2 linked regions of the Callithrix jacchus genome follow. Each later gene encodes a partner of the first gene's protein in a complex. Links are inferred from orthologs where the notes say so. Each region holds a gene or a part of one and is shown on either strand. Other genes may lie near its edges.

Region 1 (8,873 bases):
CTCCTCTCCTTTCAGAGTGCACAGGGCTCCAGCCCTCCTCCTTTGAGAACGCAGGAAAGCGTGGGGCTCTCCCAGCACCCAGGCCCCACCTTTTCAAATGCAGAAATCAAAGCTACTCCCTGCACCCATGCTGAAGACCCAGATTTGAAGACGCCCCTCCTTAAAAAACCCAGAAGCAGCACCCCTCCCGGACCCCTCCTCTTTGAGAGCCCAGGAGTCTAGACGTCCAAGCCCCCTCTTCCAGCGAGGATCCAGGAGCCCAGACCCCCTCTTTGCATCCCCCATCCCCGGCCCTTGTGAAACCAGATATTCGTAACCCCGAGCCCTTCTCCTTCGAGAGCACCCAGAGGAGCCCGGGGCTCCAGCCTCCAACCTCTTTGGCGCTCCAGACCCCTCTCCTATTGAGAATTCGGGGATCGGAGCCCCTCCTTTCCCCAGGCCCAGGCCCAGCATGTCCCGCGCACGCCAGCGTGGGTCGGATCCCACTCCCGACAGAGCTACAGGAGGTTGCGCCAGCCCCGAACTCCAGCGCGCCCCGGAGCCGCCCCGCACCCGCCAGTCCGTAGCTACCCCGCCACCGCGTGACCCCCGCCTTGCCATTGGGGGCCGCCACCCCGGCCCACCTGAGCCGCCCGCCGGGAAGGAGGCGGCCGAGCAGTCCCAGCCCGCGAGCCGCCGCGGCTCCGGCCACGCCTCCCCCGCCCAGTGCGCCCCCGCGCCGCCTGCTCCTTCGGGGCGCCCGCCGAGCCCCGCGGATCGGGCCGGGGATGAGGCCACGGTCAGGGCCCCGGGCGGGCAGGGAAGAAGCCCGGGAGCGGGCGCCAGGAGCGCGAGCCAGCAGCGGCACTCGAGTCCAGGTCTGCAATGGGCTCCGAGTTCCGAGTACGTGAAGGGGCGGGGCCTCGGGCTCGGAACAAGGAGGAGCCAAAAGCCTTGGGCCCGGGGAGGATAAGACAGGATCCGGAAAAGAGGCGGGGTCTGGAGCCTAGCGTGAGAGATGAGGCGGGGTCTCCGTTCGGGTTCCTTCGGGCACAGTCGGGAGCTTGAGTTCACTGGAGGTGGGGCCACAAACTTCCGCTCACTTCGGAGATAGTCGAGAACCGAGTGGTGGGGCCGGCGTGGGCGGGGCCACACGTTTCGGCTTTCTTCGGAGATAGTCGAGTCAGGGTCGCTGTTCTGATGTGGGCGGGACCACACTCGGCCGGATGTGGGTGGGGCTACAAGTTTCGGTTTACTTCGTAGATAGTTGGGTATAAGTGACGCTAGGATGATAGGCGGAGTCAACAGGTTCGGCAGATACGGAAGAATATTTACAAAGTGGAGGGGCGAAAGCGACTTGCCCTCAAAGGGGCGGAACCCCGGAGATCGGCGTGCGCGTAGGGGGCGGGGTCAGGGAGACGATCCTCAAATTCCGGAGTAGCGGCAGAGGGAGGTGCGCTCGATGTGGGGGTGCCAAGGTGGCCACCGCGGGAAGAAGGCGGGGCTCCAGGCCTGTGAGGGGAGGGTCCTGACTTCCCGCGGCGCCGAGGCGGCGGAATGACGAAATTGACGCTGGGGGTCGACATGGGGAGGGGAGGGTGGAGGAAGCAGAGCGTGGCGCGCGGTGCGTAGTGGGTGGCTCCGCCTTGACTGCGAGTTGGTGGTATCTGAGGTGACTCGGTGATTCTATCCGTGGACCGTGGGACATTCTGAAGGGAAGCAAGGAAGCGGACTGAGCGCTCCTAAGTGGGGTGAGCCTGCCCGAGCGGAGAGTGGATGGCGGGTGGCCAGGGGGCGGGGCTTTCGGCTACGGGGTTCGGTCGTGGGGCGGGAACTCCCCAACTGGGGTGCGCTGGCTCTTGGAGTGGGAGGGGCCACAGGCTGCGGGACTGCCAGAAGCCGATGACGCAGAACGCCGAACCTTGTGCGTCCGGGAGTGGGCGGGCTACGTAGTCGGCCGAGCCGAGAACACCCGAACGCCAAATGGCTCACGTTCGAGAAGGGGGCGGGGCGGTGTATTCGGTGGAGTCGAGGACTCCCGAACGCCGAACCTCCCGCTCCAAGGAGGGAGCAGGGTTTCGTACTGTGGGAGTCTGAGAGCGAGTAGGCCCGACAGCCGAATCACAGTGGTTCGGAAACAGGAGGAGCTAAGGCCGGAGCGTCCCGAAGAGGGTGTGGCCTCGGCGGTGCTTTAGCTTCGAGAGCTTTTGATCCCCGACGGGAACGCCCACTTTGCAAGAGGGTGGAGCCAAAATGGACCTTTATAAGGGGGTGATTCGCCGCGCTTGTGGTTTCTTTTTGAGACTTGAAGGCGCAATAGCAGGTAGGGCAGTGTGGGCACAGAGCGGGTGCCGACGGCAGGGTCACAAGGGCTGAGCGGGGCTCCGTCTCCGGCGGCCGCGGAGCCTGGTGGGATCGTCCGGGGGCGGGGCCTGGCACTTGGGCCCAGCAGGTGGTGAACAGCGGCCGAGCGAGGCCCCGCCCTTTGTGGCCTGGGGGCGGGGTTTTGCCAGATCCCGAGGCGCCGAGTGCTCTCCCGGGGGCCCGCGGCGCAGCTGTTTCGGTGACCGCTTTGTCTCCCGGCTCCCGCAGGAGGATGCTGGTTGTGGAGGTGGCGAACGGCCGCTCCCTGGTGTGGGGGGCCGAGGCGGTTCAGGCCCTCCGGGAGCGCCTGGGAGTGGGGGGCCGCACGGTAGGCGCCCTGCCCCGCGGGCCCCGCCAGAACTCACGCTTGGGCCTCCCGCTGCTGTTGATGCCCGAAGAGGCGCGGCTCCTGGCAGAGATCGGTGCTGTGACTCTGGTCAGCGCCCCGCGCCCAGACCCTCGGCACCACAGCCTGGTAAGGGGGCGGGGCTCGAACTCCTGGATCTGGTGGGAGCGGGGCCTGAGAGTCCGGATTACTGGCTTCCGAAGCGACCATAAGCTTGGAGGTTCCAGCGAAGTGTGCTTCTCAGGCCCTGACATCCTTCAAGCGCCAACAAGAACAGAGCTTCCAGGAGCAGAGCGCCTTGGCAGCTGAGGCCCGGGAGACCCGTCGGCAGGAGCTCCTAGAGAAGATTACGGAGGGCCAGGCTGCCAAGAAGCAGAAGCTGGAACAGGCTTCAGGGGCCAGCGCGAGCCAGGAGGCCGGCGGGAGCCAGGCTGCCAAAGTGAACGAGACCAGTGATCTCCAGGCTTCGGGAGAGCAGGAGGAAGCCGGTGAGCGTGGGAGGTGGAGTCCAGGGACCATGGGAAGAAAAGGAGAGATCTTTTGGGAATTTTAGCTGGGAATCCAGTGCCTGGGTCTCCTTGAGGGTGCGAAGACTTTGCCCCTTGGATTTACCAAACTCTTCTCTGTACTTCAACCAGGCCCCTCCTCTTCCCAAGCAGGACCCTCAAATGGAGTAGCCCCCTTGCCCAGATCTGCTCTCCTTGTCCAGCTGGCCACTGCCAGGCCTCGACCTGTCAAGGCCAGGCCCCTGGACTGGCGTGTCCAGTCTAAAGACTGGCCCCACGCCGGCCGCCCTGCCCATGAGCTGCGCTACAGCATCTACAGAGACCTGTGGGAGCGGGGCTTCTTCCTCAGCGCGGCTGGGAAGTTTGGAGGTGACTTCCTGGTCTATCCGGGTGAGTTTGGGTTGGGGCCTCTGGTTGCTATGCTAGTCTTTACAATCTCAATGTATTCTGCGGTTTTCTTACCTTTCTTCTCTTAACAGAGATGGGGTCTGTGTTGTTGCTCAGGCTGGTCCCAATTCCTGGGCTCAAGCAATCTTCGCACCTCAGCCTCCCAAAGTGCTGGGATTACAGGCCCAGCTGCATTTTTCTTTTTTGTCTCACTTTCTGTTAGCTTCTTACATTCACAGATGGACAAGAAACATTTGAGAGCTCCCCAACTCACTGGGCAAGCAGTTTAGCGACTCTTATTAAATGCTTACTGTGATCCAGAAGATTAACTCAGAAGCAGACATCAGGCCGGTGCGATGGCTCACGCCTGTAATCTCAGCACTTTGGGAGACTGAGGCGGGCAGATCACCTGAGGTCAGGAGTTCAAGACCAGCCTGGCCAACGTGAAGAAACCCTGTCTTTAAAAGAAAAAAAATCTAGAAGTGTAGTAGTTGGTCCAAGCATTATCTGGTTTAGACCATCCAGAGGAGTTGCTGAAATGCTCTCGCATCTCCCACCAGCAGTCACTCCTGTGGCTTCTACCCCCTGCCATTGGCCACTGCTTCAGTGCCTCTGTCCCCACCAGGTGACCCACTCCGCTTCCACGCCCACTACATCGCTCAGTGCTGGGCCCCCGAGGACCCCATCCCACTCCAGGACCTGGTTGCTGCTGGGCGCCTTGGAACCAGCGTCAGAAAGACCCTGCTCCTCTGCTCTCCGCAGCCTGATGGTAAGGTGGTCTACACCTCCCTGCAGTGGGCCAGCCTGCAGTGAACTCCAGAGACCTAGGCGGATGTGGCTGTGTCGGCAGCAAGAGCCTTTCTGGATGTTCCCAAGCTTTTTCTGGGAGTCTAGAACATCCTCCCACCTTTCTCTGCGCTTAGTTTTTGATTCCAGGTTTTCCAACGCTAAGTCCTTTTTATGTTCTTCCTTGTCTCAAAGCACTTCCTGGCTGTGTTGTTTTGCAGTTACCTGTTTTCACACTGTGAGCTTCCTGAGAATGGGAACTGGGTTTGATTCATCTGTTTTCTACAGGGGTTAAGTCTCAGGAGGTCTCAATAAACTTGTTATCTGAATGTTCATGAGTTGAATTCTTATGACAATCCTGGAACCTGCTGGCGGTCTTATCTGCATGTACAGATGAGAAAAAGGCCTGGAGGAGGGGATGACTTGCCAAGGTCACACAGCTAGTCAACAGCAGGCCTGGCCTTTAAAAATGTTTTTTTCTGACTCCTAAATCTGCCCTCTTTCTACCACACTAAACTTCCTTTTGAAAAGATTTCTATGAAACTTCTCAGATGCATGCATAAATAAAAATATAGGCTGGGCGTGATGGCTCACACCTGTAATCCCACAGCACTTTGGGAGGCCATCGCAGGAGGATTGCTTGAGACCAGCTCTGGTGACGCTGTAATACCCCATCTCTACAAAAAAATAATTTAAAAAAATTAGCCAGGGATCCCTTAAGCCTGGGAAGTTGAGGCTGCTGTGAGCTGTGATCGCACCACTGCACTCCAACATAGGAGACAGAGCAAGAGACCTTGTCTCAAAAAAAAAGTGTGTGTCTGTGTGTGTGTGAATATATATACATATGTATATGTGTGTGTGTATATATGTATATGTACATACATATGAAAGAAAAAAGGAGATGAGAATATTGTAATTTTAGGAGTTCAGAGCATGGGGAGGATGTCAGGAAGGACTCTGGAAGGCGTTCTGCTTTTTCATGGCCTGGGTAGTAGTTGAGAATTTTTTTGCTGCTGTACATTGATATTTTAGACTCGTTTTTTTATGTGTTATATTCTGCAACTTTTACAAAAGCTAAAACATGTATGTGTATAAAATACGCACTTTTGAAATCGTTTACCCACGGTTTTGCTTAGAACTCGGTACTGGAACACTGCCACGAATCCAGTACCTTTATCCTACCAGTGTGCAGTTTTATTTTGTCAGTGTAATAGTCACAGCCTAGAATTCTGGGGCTGAAAGTCTTTATTTCTAGTTCTTAATTTCTTTTCCCTACATATATCTATCTATCTGTCCATCTAGCTATCTTTTTCTCTCTCTCTCTCTTCTGTGAATTGAGCGGCCTCTGGAATCAGAATAGGTTTTGAGAGACTTCCATCTCCCCACTTTCTTGACATTACCAGTAAACAGACTTCATAGAATCTCAATTTCCTAAAGGTTTAATTTAAAATACGACACTGGGCTGGGTGTGGTGGCTCCCGCCTGTAATCCTAGCACTTTGGGAGTCTGAGGTGGGTGGATCACCTAAGGTCAGGAGTTTGACACTAGCCTGGCCAATATGGTGAAACCCCGAGTTCGAGATGAGCTTGGCCAATATGGTGAAACCCCGAGTTCGAGACTAGCCTGGCCAATATGGTGAAACCCCAAGTTCGAGACTAGCCTGGCCAATATGGTGAAACCCCATCTGTACTAAAAGTACAAAAAAAATTAGCCAGGTGTGGTGGTGGACGCCTGTAATCTATCCAAGCTACTCAGGAGCCTGAAGCAGGAGAATCACTTGAACCCAGGAGGCCAAAGTTGCAGTGAGCCGAGATTGCACCACTGCACTCCAGCCTGGGCAACAAGAGCGAAATTCCATTTAAAAAAGAAAAAGGGGCCGGGCGCGGTGGCTCACGCCTGTAATCCCAGCACTTTGGGAGGCCGAGACCGGTGGATCACGAGGTCAAGAGATTGAGACCATCCAGTTCAACATGGTGAAACCCCGTCTCTACTAAAAATACAAAAAATTAGCTGGGCATTGTGGCGCGTGCCTGTAATCCCAGCTACTCGGGAGGCTGAGGCAGGAGAATTGCCTGAACCCAGGAGGCGGAGGTTGTGGTGAGCCGAGATTGCGCCATTGCACTCCAGCCTGGGTAACAGGAGCGAAACTCCGTCTCAAAAAAAAAAAAGGAAAAGACACTAACCTCTGTCTGGCCAAGACTAATCTTTGTGCCTGTTTGATAAGTGGCTTGTAAGTCTATGCTCTACCCTTTCTCCTCTCTACAACAAGTAATTAGATGTCTCAGTACCTCTGTCATGAGCCTCTCCTCTGAAAAGTTTCTCATTCAAAACTTTTGTGGCTGGGTGTGGTGGCTCAGGCCTGTAATCCTAGCACTTTGGGAGGCCAGGGTGGGAAGATCAGTTGAGCTCAGGAGTTCGACACCAGCCTGAGCTGAACATAGTGAGACCTCGCCTCTATTTAAAAAAAAAAAGAAAACTTTTGTGACTGATGTTTCCATGTCATCAGTCAACAAATTCTGTAGGTGCCATGTTCTAAGTTTGGCCCCTGCCCTCCACCTTCACTGGCAGCATCTTAGAAAAACCAAACCATTGCTCATTTGATCCTAATAGTGTCCTAACTCATCCCCTGCCTTCTAGCCTTGCCCCTCTGTTGACTGTTTTCAACAGAGCAGCCAGAATCATCATATTAAAAGATAAGTCAGACCATTTCACAGCCCTTGTCTAAAACTCGCAGTTTTCCATCTCCGAGTGAAAGCCAAAGGCCTCACTTTGCAGGTTCCTCATGAACTGACCACATGCGTCCTCTTACTATTATTTTTTTTAAACTAAGACTTCAGCATTTTCATACTTCAAGCATCCTCTTCCTTATTTTTTCTTTTTGAGACGGAGTTTCGCTCTTGTTACCCAGGCTGGAGTGCAATGGCGCGATCTCGCCTCACCGCAACCTCCGCCTCCTGGGTTCAGGCAATTCTCCTGCCTCAGCCTCCTGAGTAGCTGGGATTACAGGCACGTGCCACCATGCCCAGCTAATTTTTTATATTTTTAGTAGAGACGGGGTTTCACCACGTTGACCAGGATGGTCTCGATCTCTTGACCTCGTGATCCACTTGCCTTGGCCTCCCAAAGTGCTGGGATTACCGGTGTGAGCCACGGCGCCCGGCATTTTTAAATTTTTTTTACTATCTCCAGTAATGAGTATAAGGCAAGCATTTTTTTTTTTTTAATTTATTTTGAGATCAGAGTCTTGCTCTGTTGCCCAGGCTGCAGTGCAGTAGCATAGTCTCAGCTCACTGCAGCCTCTGCCTCCCGGGTTCAAGCGATTCTCCCACCTCAGCCTCCCAAGTACCTGGGATTACAGGTGCCCGCCTGCATGCCAAGCTAGTGTTTTGTATTTTAGTAGAGATGGGGTTTCACCCTGTTGCCCAGGCTCGAACTCCTGAGCTCAGGCCATCTGTCCACCTCAGCCTCCCAAAGTGCTAGGATTACAGGCGTGAGCCACCTCGTCCAGCCAGCTTTGTTCCTTTTTACTGATGAAACTTCCATTGTGTGGACACAACCACACTTTGTTTATCCATTCACAAGTTGTTGGCACACAGTTAAGGAAAGGTTTTTGTTTTCGTTGTATTTTCCCTTGTTCATGCAGCAGCCCCAGGACCAAGAACAGTTCCTAGCACACAGTAAGCAGTCAGTATATTATTGCTAAATGAATGAGTTGTTTTTTTGGTGTGTGTATTTTAGTAGAGATGGGGTTCCACAATGTTGGTCAGTATGGTCTCGATCTCCTGACCTAAAGTGCTGGGATTGCAGGTGTGAACCACTGCACCTGGCCATGAGTGGTTTAAACTATCATTTTTAAATCAAGGCTGGCTGAGACAACTTGGAAATTATAATTTCCCCTAATATACGACTTTCTAAGCATATTTTTAATATGCATTTATGATTTTTATTAATGCAAATTGTAGCATACTATACACACTCAGCAGCTTGCTTTTTTGATATGCCCAGGCTTGCTTCATTTTTGCAAACAGCTACATGCTTTTGCGTCCTACAGATGGGGCATAATTAGATTGTATTACACTTGTACAAAAGAAAAGAAAGGAATTCAGCTCCCCAAGCATGCCCAACTGGTCCCTGGCAACCCATGATGGAAACCAAGGGTTCCTTTTATATTACCTGTGTGCCTTTCAGAGCAGAAGGGCCAGAGGGCTCCAGGCTGAGTGAAAGGGAGGAAGCATGAGGGGTTTGTGGAAGAGGGGCCAGTGCCCTGTGATTGGACCATGCTTCTGAAGAGGATCAAGGTGAGGCCCAGTCTCATCAGCTGACCCTTGAGCAACATGAGTCTGAACTGCTCAGCTCCACTTACTGCAGATTTAAAGAAGTAAAGGTCACACAGCATGCCTACCTCTCCTGCTTTGCCTTTTACCCCCTCCACCTCTGCCACCTTGAGGCAGCAAGACCAATCCCTCCTCCTCCTCCTCTGTCTACTCAGCATGAGGACAAGGATG
Region 2 (8,858 bases), on another chromosome or scaffold:
AAATTGCTCTAGAATATATACCTGGGATTATAATTGTTGGATCATAGGATTTGTGCATCTATCCTTTGGTCTACTTTTATGCCAACTCTTGGCTTTTGTTGCTAATCTGGTGAATTAAGGTATCTTCTTACCTCAATTTGCATTTTCTTAATCAATGTGGCTGAACATCAAGTCATATTTGCTGGCCTTTTAATCTGTTTTTCTGTTTATTCTCATTTTTTTTTTAACCCGAGGAGTGGTTTTTTTTTTTAATTCCTAATTGATTTTTAGGAGCTCTTTATAGATTCTGGGTATCTTTTCTTTCAATTATGTGTTCCAGATGTCTTCCCCTCACCCCACTCTCTGTGTTGGAAATTCTTAACTGAAATACAGTTATATTGCCAAATTTTTCCCATATGGTCTGTGTTTTTTGTGTCTTGTTTAAGAAATCACTCTCTTGGGGTCATAAAATATTCTTTTATATTCTCTCCTAGAGATTTAAAAGTGTTTGCCTCCACGCCATGTAGCCAATCACACTCTCTCCTTCCCTTCTTGCATCTGCAGTGTTACTTCTGCCCACATTCGTATGAGTCTGCTTTCTGGCTCCCTACTTTGTTTCGTTGGTTTTACCTATCCATGTGCCAATGTCACATCCTTGTAATTAGATATATTTACAAGAATTTAAATTTTGTTTAAAACTTTACCTTTATAAGATATTTTATATTTCAGAATTTTAACTTCATAAGAGTTTCCTTCCTTTTGTTCATAAAAAGGGTCTTGGTTATCTTTGGTCCCTTATGCCCAAATTTCAGAATCAGCTTATCAGGTATTAAGAAAATCCTTCTTGGGATTTTAATTGGAATTGCTAGAATCTGTAAATAACTTTGGAGGAAATTGCCATCTTTATAATATTGAATTATTCTCTTTCTTGAATCTTTCTCTGTTCTTGAAACACAGAGAATGGGAAATTGTGTGTGTCGGTTACAAAAAAAAAGGAAAAAGATATATATGAGCATCCTTACAGCCAATGAATGAAAAAGCTAATCCAGAATCCTAGACAACATTTTTCAGCATGGGATCACTGTCTCATATAATAGTGTGAAAAAGCTTTTTCTTCTTTTTTTTCACACTAGAGATTCACATCACAATTTAATGTTCGCATTTCCTCTTGAGACTCTTACTGAATTAATATGTCTCTGGCTAGACATTACAGATTTTTGTAGGAATAAAATGGTCTGGCTCAGGATATCATTGGGAAATGAGGTCAGCAAGTGCCAGATTACAATGAATTTTATTAAATCCAATACACTCAGGGGATTTTATTCGTTGTTTCTTATCTAGCCTTTTTTCTCACTACTTTGGTTCTCTAAAGTGAACTATTGAAGCATTTTACAAAAGGAGAAATCCTCCAGGTTACCAGACACCGAAACTCTCCTCTGTTCTCTAGGGGATTTCACTCTAGATTGCTGCAACAGTCATTTGATTCTGCACTGTAAATACTAGGTTGTCTAAGTGTTTCCAAATCCTTTGTGTTCACTTTTAGCAATTCCCAATCACCAAGACTTCAGTTTCCATTGCTTAACAGGGAAGCTAAGAGACACTCCCTTTTCATTCTCCATCTCTTAAATAGACAAGGACATTAAAAGTCAGAAGTATGTAATATTTATGCCTGAATGTATCATGCTTTTTCTAAGCAACAGTATTTAATCTATTTGCCAAAGGATGGCATTTATCTGTTGCTTTTTTGATTTATGGTTCTTTCTTCATCCTTCTAGTTTTTCCTATCTCCAATTTCTTTTTTCTTGAACATAAGCTGAAATTCTTCTCCTGAAGATGTTTGAGGCTGGTTCACATAGTCCCTAATCCCGCTGGAAATCCTTAATGATTTATAAAATTTTTCCCCTACTCAGATTAGCAACAAAACACTCTTAATGCTTCTAAAAATGCCATCATATGAACTAATTTGGATCTTTAGGAGTCAGATTTATTCACTTCCAAGCACTATTCAAGTGTTTCAGTGATTCATGCTTCAATGGCCCTATTAATTTCAGTGCCATTTTCCTCTTTCGGGTTTTGCAGCTGCTTTGTGGAGGCAAAGGTTCATTCAAATGTAATATATTTGAGGGCAATATATGAATCTTCATGTGTGACTTTACATCTCATTCAATAATAGATGCCCTTCTTTTCCCTGTGTATGATATGTTGTTTCTTTTAATGGATTCAAGCTTTTCTCTTTATCTTTTTGACTTTCAATAGTTTGATTAAAATGTAGAATTCTTTGTGTTTATTTTAGTTGTTGTATATTTAGCATTTTGTACTGGCAAATGTCTCTCATTAAATTTGGGGAAATTTTGGCCACTCTTTCTTCAACAGTTTTTTTCTGTCCCTTGTTTTTTTCTACTTCTGTTATTTACATGCATGTTGAATCAAATCTCTGTGGATCTACTCACTTTTTAAAGATAATTTTTCTTGTTGTTGTTTACTTTTAATAATTTATATTGCTCTATTTCAAGTTCCCTACTTTTTCTTCTGTAATTTCTTTCTGGCTGTTAAATTAACCCAGTTAATTTTTTTATTTTTAAAATTATAATTTTCAATCTTCAGAATTTCTATTTGGTTTTAAAAATCTTTTTTTTTCTTTTTTTGCTGAGATTTTCTGTTTGTCTCTTGAGATTTTCATTCATTGAAAACATGTTTTACTTCATTGAAATTGTTTTAATGGTCACTTTAAAATCCTTATCTGTCAGTTTCAACTTCTGATTCATCTCAGGGTCAAACTCTAGAGTATGCAATCCATTTTCTTGAATTTCATATGTCAGATAATTTGGGATAGTATACTGGACTTTATGAGTGTTAAGTGGAGAGTGTGGATTCTATTATTTTTCTCTGATAAGTGTTATTTCCTTTGTATTCGTAGGTAATTTTTCTGGCTAGATTTTAACTGCAAACTCTCTCCCTTTGGAGACAACTCTGATCTCAGTTCAGATTTTTTGTCTTTAACTGAGCTGCTGTGATTCTGTTTTGAGTGGTTCAGGAGCTCTCAGAGATGTGGATTGACAGAGTTTGGGGATCCACTCTCTGATCCTTCCTTGGGATTTCTTAACCTCTTCGGAATTCAAACTATTCTGGCTTCACTTTTCTGCTTCCCCAGATAAGAATAACCAATAAGTTTTATATACACACACCTGCTGCTGCTGCTGCTGCTGCTGCTGCTGCTGCTGCTGCTGCTGCTGCTGCTGCTGAGCCTAACTTCTGGACTGCACTTAGCCCCAAGTTAAATGCCAGAGAGGGGAATGTTCTTGTGGAGTTCCTCATCTTTAAGCAAGCTTGCCCTTCCTACCAGTCTGCTGTTCACTCTCCAGTATATTCAGCTTTTTGTATTGTGTTCAACTTGTTTTCTGCTGGGGATGGTCCAGTAGGGTCTTAGCCTATCATGGTTGAAAGTTGAATTTCTGTCCTGCCTGGAACTTCGGATTTTGAGTCATCCTTGTCTTGGTAAATGCGATAGCCTCCTCACCAGTCCCTGTTTATGTCCTTGCTCCCTACAGTCCATCCTCAACACATCAGAGTGATCCTATGAAAACATAACAGGAGCCTCCAACAGTTTCCCATTTCGCTCACAGTAAATAAAAAATGCTTAAAATGTGCTACTCTGCCTGCCGGAAACTCCTCATCCTTGGCTTCCAGATCACATGCTTGTGCCAGTTTGTATCCTAGCTTTCTGAACACTCATTCAGCAACTCGTGTTTCCTCTAATACTGAAACATGGGTCCAGCCTGTAACTACGGTTCTACTTCAAAGATTTTTGTCAAGGCACTGAGTAAGGCTTTTCCGGTTCTCAGGAATCAGAAACCAGGACCCCACTGTTAAAGGCAAAGAGAACGTATACATCCCCCAACTTTCTCAAAGAACTATAGGCAGCACTGACTTAAAGAGGATTAAGAGCTTCCAGGCGCGGGCTACTCTTGAATATTTTTCAGGCTAGAACTTGCTCGGATTTGAATAAACGCAGAGCAAAACTAGAGACTAAACTAGAGAGCGTTCGCGCAGGTTCTTACTACCTTGGTCAGAAGGGGGGGCTGACGCAACTTTCCTCCCAGATTCAGAGCCTTCTCGTGCAACCACGGCGAGTCTCGAGGAAGCGGAACCCACAGGCGCGCGCGCAGCTGTTTCTGGCCGGGCACGGGTCGCGGTGCACCACGGGAGTGCCAAACCGGCTGCATGGAGGAGCGCGGCGATTCCGAGCCGACCCCCGGCTGCAGCGGCCTGGGTCCGGGCGGTGTTCACGGCTTTGGCGACGGCGGCGGAGCTCCCTCGTGGGCCCCCGAGGACGCCTGGATGGGCTCCCACCCTAAGGTCAGGAGGCGTGAGAGGAGCAGGACGCCGTCCGGGCCCCTAGCCCAGGCAGAACTCCCGGGCTGCCCTCTTACTTTCTCCCTCAGCGCGAGAGCTGAGGATGCGCCCCACCCTCACCGAGGTGGACCGGTGTGCACAGCTGCCAACCTCAGGCAGCATCGGTTTTGTTTGTTTAAATTAGTTGAACTATTCGTTCCGACACCTTCCCCAACCCGCCACCGAAGCCATTCTGGAACCTAGGACCAGACATTAACTCCACCCCTCTCGAGCCGGAGATTCCTAAGAAGCGTTCCATTAGTTTTGCTCTCTAGGTAAATCCCCTTTCCGGGATGAATTCATTTAATCCTCACAGTAACCATGCAAGACAGTTTGTGGCCGATGGATAAGCTCTAGGGGTCCATAATGGTAAAGATTTAGGCACAGTCATATTTACATTTAGCTTTGGGTCCAGAGTACACCTTTATTTTGCAAAGGTGCAGATTCCTAATATTTCAGATTTCTTTGAAAGTTTGAATAGGTTCTTACCCAAAGCAGAGCTACTCACATTTTACTTGTATTTTTCTACAGTAGCAGGAAGGGAGATAAAGATAGTCCCCTGCGTGCTTCTGCTTGAGACATTACTGCCTTGTCCCAGTAAGGTTCCAAGCAGTAAATAGACAAGTGAATGGAGATGTGAGTTTTGTAAAAATCTCAAAAACTGGTCTGGTCTGATACTTTATTAGAATTGTACTCTTCTCCTAGAGAGCAATAATTCATAGATAATAGTCTAAAAACGGAAAAATTTGAAGGTATATGTTTGAAAAGAGTTAACCTTTTTCAGCTTCTCTTGCTTAATTTTATGTTCCTATGCCGTCCCCTTCATTCTTCCAAAAGGTGAGAAAAAGAAACAATAGTATGGAAATACTTAGTGCCATGAAAGAGAAACAATAGCATGGAGAGACAGCATAACGGTTAGGAGCATGAACTCAAAATCAGACTCAGTTTAAATCTTGATTCTGTCACTTATCAACCTTGTGATTTGGGACAAGTTGTTTGATCCCATTATGCCTCAGTTTCCTCACCTGAAAAATGGGGATATTAATAGTCCATACTTACAGGGTTGCTACAGGATTAAATTAGTTAATATTTGTAAGCCATTCAACATATAGAAAGCACTATAAAGCACTTAATAAGTTAAACACCAGTAACAAATTTTTAAAACCTTATCTAGATTTGGTGTTGTTACTCAGTTTACATACTTGTAGAGTTTTTTCATTTTGAAGTTAATGGCTGTGTACATACACCATGACCATCAAATCTCTCCTTTTGATTTATCTTCTTGAAGGACCAAAATGATTTTTAAAAGAAAAGGAAAAGAAATAATAAAGTAATAGGGGGTGTTTGTTTTTCCAATTTCACCTTTTTGTTCATTCAAAAATTACATAGGTTCATCCAGTAAAATGGTATCAGATTTATTATCCTCAAACACACTTTTATTATTCTCTTGCTTAGAAATCCTCAGTGTTTCCTCAATGACAAAAATCACGTTTAGCTTAAGACCTTGCAGCCTGGCTCAAAATTATGTTTTGAGTGTCACTTTCCAACATGTTTGAAGTAGACAACTAATAACCCATATCCTCCTGTACCTGTGCAGTTACAGTGAAGCTGATGGGAGAATGTGACTTAGGACCTGTCCCCATGCAGGTCTGCTAGTACTTCACCTCAGCATTAGCCCCACATATCCACCTAGTCACCAGCATAGCTGGGCAGCTTCAGAATTCTGCAGGTGTAGGCCCCTGAAACACGTTTCCCTTATGCTGATCAGTTGTCTGAAAGAAGCAGCTTTCTCTAGTTTCTTGTCAATCCCCTTTTAAAAATCTAATGATTAAATAATTCCGTACTCTTAAAGTGCGAAAGAATGGGTAGAGAAGCTAGGACTGATACTGTGGCAGACTCTCTCCACAGATAAATAAGAGGCTAGGGAAATACACAGTACCTACTAATAGGTCCCAACGTAAATCTTATTAAAAAGGTTTCTATTGCTGGGAGATAGGTTTCTTTACAGTCCCTTGAATACGTGTGACTTAATCCCACCTTTGTGTGATTACCTGCACTATTACTCAACTTCTCCATTTACTCAAATGATAATGTTCTGTGCTCAACTTGTATCCTATCCTGCCTCTGCTGTAAAGCTTTCACCAGTCCCTCTGAGTAGAGCTCTTCTGACCTGTCGTGTCATGTTTCTTATTCCATTTACGTGGTTTTTAATCACGGTCATATATTGTTATTTGCCTAACAATGTTAAGTACGCATGTATTTAACAATCGCAAGTTCTTTAGAGACAGAGATAATATTTTATATTGCCTTTTAACTTCCACTATACCCAGAAGAATTTTATGGATTATATATACTTAATGACTGACTACTTGTTGATTGAAAGAAAATATTAAACAATTCTTCCTTCTCGATTTGACAATTATATTTTAATTTTCAGTATTTAGAAATGATGGAATTAGATATAGGAGATGCCACCCAAGTTTATATAGCATTCTTGGTTTACCTGGACCTCATGGAAAGTAAGTTGTTTGTTTATACTGTTTTGTTATTGGGACTGTGGTAGAGGTTTGGGGGATTGGATTGGGATATATATAGCATTCTTCACATTATAATAAGCAATCTTATATGCATTTGCTGTTAATTTTGTAATTTCTTCATTTATTTACATTGGGAATTACTGAGTAATAGAAACTACTAGAAAAGCAAAGAGAGGAGGTAGTGTTATGAGTGATATTTGCTCAGCTGAGTTTTAGGCAGAAGTTTGGAGTTTTTATCTTTTGATTTTAATAAACATTATTGTCCATTCAATGATGCTCTTTCAGGCAAAAGCTGGCATGAAGTAAACTGTGTAGGATTACCAGAACTTCAGCTCATCTGCCTTGTTGGTACTGAGATAGAAGGGGAAGGGTTACAGACTGTGGTGCCTACCCCCATCACTGCTTCCCTCAGCCATAACAGGTGAGCAGGTGATTTTGGTTTAAGTTCCTTTCCCAAGTAAAGAAGTAGGAAACATTAAAGGTAGCGATACAGTATTTTTAAAGAAGTTTGGGATACAGCAACCATAGCTTTACTCTTGGCTATTTGAGGAATAAGTTAAATATGACTGTTGTATTCAGCCGTTCTTGCATTACTATAAATATCTGAGATTTTTTTTTTTTTTTATTTCTTTAAAAAAAGGTTTATGGGACTCATAGTTCTGCGGACTTTACAGTAAGCATGCTGCTGGCATCTATGTGGCTTCTAGGGAGGCCTCAGAAAGCTTATAATCATGGCAGGGGATGAACCAAGAACAGGCACGTATATGGCAAAAGCAGGAGTGAGAGAGAATGTGTTGAGGGGGAGGTTCCACACACTTTTAAATGGCCAGATCTCACAAGAACTCATTGTCCTGAAGACAGCTCCTAGCCATGAGGGATTTACGCCCATAACCCAAATACCTCCCACCAGGCCCCACCTTCAACATTGGGGATGGCAGTTCAACATGGGATTTGGGCAGGAACAAATATACAAAGTATATCAAGGATTGAACAAGTATTTATTTAGCACTTACTCTGTGGTCAGTACTTTTTCAGAGACGGTATGTATGGTAGAAATATTAGCCTTATGGAAGTATTTATATTCTTGATAAGGAAGCAAGACCATTACATTTGAAATAATAGATATTATAAGATATACCATGTAATAGAAGTCATACTTGATATAGGAGTTGGTAAAGAGCATGATTAACATTAATTGAAATCAAAGAAAGTTTCATGTAGTTTATGGGACCTTTTTTTAAAAAGCTTAGGTACACAGCATTATATTAAACATGTCTTTGTTTCATGACGTATTCTCATTATTAGTTCATGCTTGGTTTTTATTTATTTACTTAGTTATTTTTAATAATGTTGTAAGTATCTCTGTACCCATCACCCGAAGCAAAACTAGGTTCTTGACTATAACTAACATCTAATCTTGTAAGTCCCTTAACATGTTCTCACTGACCTGAGGTAACTGTCATTCTGAATTCCATGTTTATTGGGAATTTTTAAATTTTAGATATTTTTAACTTCAATTTAAAAATCTTGTCTTTTATGACTGAACTTATACACTTAATATTATATTGCTAAAATTCATCCATTGTTGTGCCTTTTTTGGGCTGCCATATAATATTACATTGTGTGATTATACCACCATTTTCACATCCACTCCCTTGATGATGGAGTGTTGCTAATGTTTGACTTTAGGAGGTAATTTCAAACATTTTCAAATTGGTTGCCTCAATTTACTTTTCACCTGCAATGTAATCAAGACCCTTTGGAGCTGTATTGTCTCTACGTTGAGTATTGTCAGACTTTTAAATTTTGCCAACAGAATGGATTATTCTCATTGTGGTCTTAATTTGCCTTTCTCTCATCAATCATAATACTGAATATTTCTTAATATATGTATTATTTATAAGAAACATCTGTTCATTTCTTTTGCCTATTGGGTTGCCTTTAGTTTTC

Evidence for each region.
Region 2: the proteins of TSEN34 (region 1) and TSEN15 are in contact, whole or in part, in a crystal structure (PDB 6Z9U), measured with the Homo sapiens proteins. The link is inferred for Callithrix jacchus from reciprocal best matches to the Homo sapiens genes TSEN34 and TSEN15. Residues at the interface, in NP_001070914.1 of Homo sapiens: Pro251, Leu252, Arg253, Phe254, His255, Ala256, His257, Tyr258, Pro265, Glu266, Asp267, Thr268, Ile269, Pro270, Leu271, Gln272, Leu274, Ser283, Val284, Arg285, Lys286, Thr287, Leu289, Leu290, Cys291, Ser292, Gln294, Val300, Tyr301, Thr302; in NP_443197.1 of Homo sapiens: Leu70, Lys74, Trp76, Thr108, Pro109, Ile110, Thr111, Ala112, Ser113, Leu114, Ser115, His116, Asn117, Ile119, Arg120, Leu123, Leu141, Ile143, Val151, Tyr152, Tyr153, Lys154, Leu155, Thr156, Asp157, Gly158, Phe159, Met160, Leu161, Pro162.

The regions. Positions count from the first base shown.
Region 1 is NC_133523.1:47,374,076-47,382,948, forward strand, and holds TSEN34 (tRNA-splicing endonuclease subunit Sen34), read left to right. Parts: upstream 1-1,391; 5' UTR 1,392-1,432; exon of another isoform or gene 1,433-1,730; intron 1,731-2,268; exon of another isoform or gene 2,269-2,302; intron 2,303-2,490; exon of another isoform or gene 2,491-2,571; 5' UTR 2,572-2,575; coding exon 2,576-2,818; intron 2,819-2,933; coding exon 2,934-3,177; intron 3,178-3,327; coding exon 3,328-3,585; intron 3,586-4,207; coding exon 4,208-4,395; 3' UTR 4,396-4,697; downstream 4,698-8,873. UniProt on the Homo sapiens protein: Constitutes one of the two catalytic subunit of the tRNA-splicing endonuclease complex, a complex responsible for identification and cleavage of the splice sites in pre-tRNA. It cleaves pre-tRNA at the 5'- and 3'-splice sites to release the intron.
Region 2 is NC_133519.1:42,220,796-42,229,653, forward strand, and holds the start of TSEN15 (tRNA-splicing endonuclease subunit Sen15), read left to right. Parts: upstream 1-4,168; 5' UTR 4,169-4,200; coding exon 4,201-4,335; intron 4,336-6,808; coding exon 6,809-6,890; intron 6,891-7,193; coding exon 7,194-7,329; intron 7,330-8,858. UniProt on the Homo sapiens protein: Non-catalytic subunit of the tRNA-splicing endonuclease complex, a complex responsible for identification and cleavage of the splice sites in pre-tRNA. It cleaves pre-tRNA at the 5' and 3' splice sites to release the intron.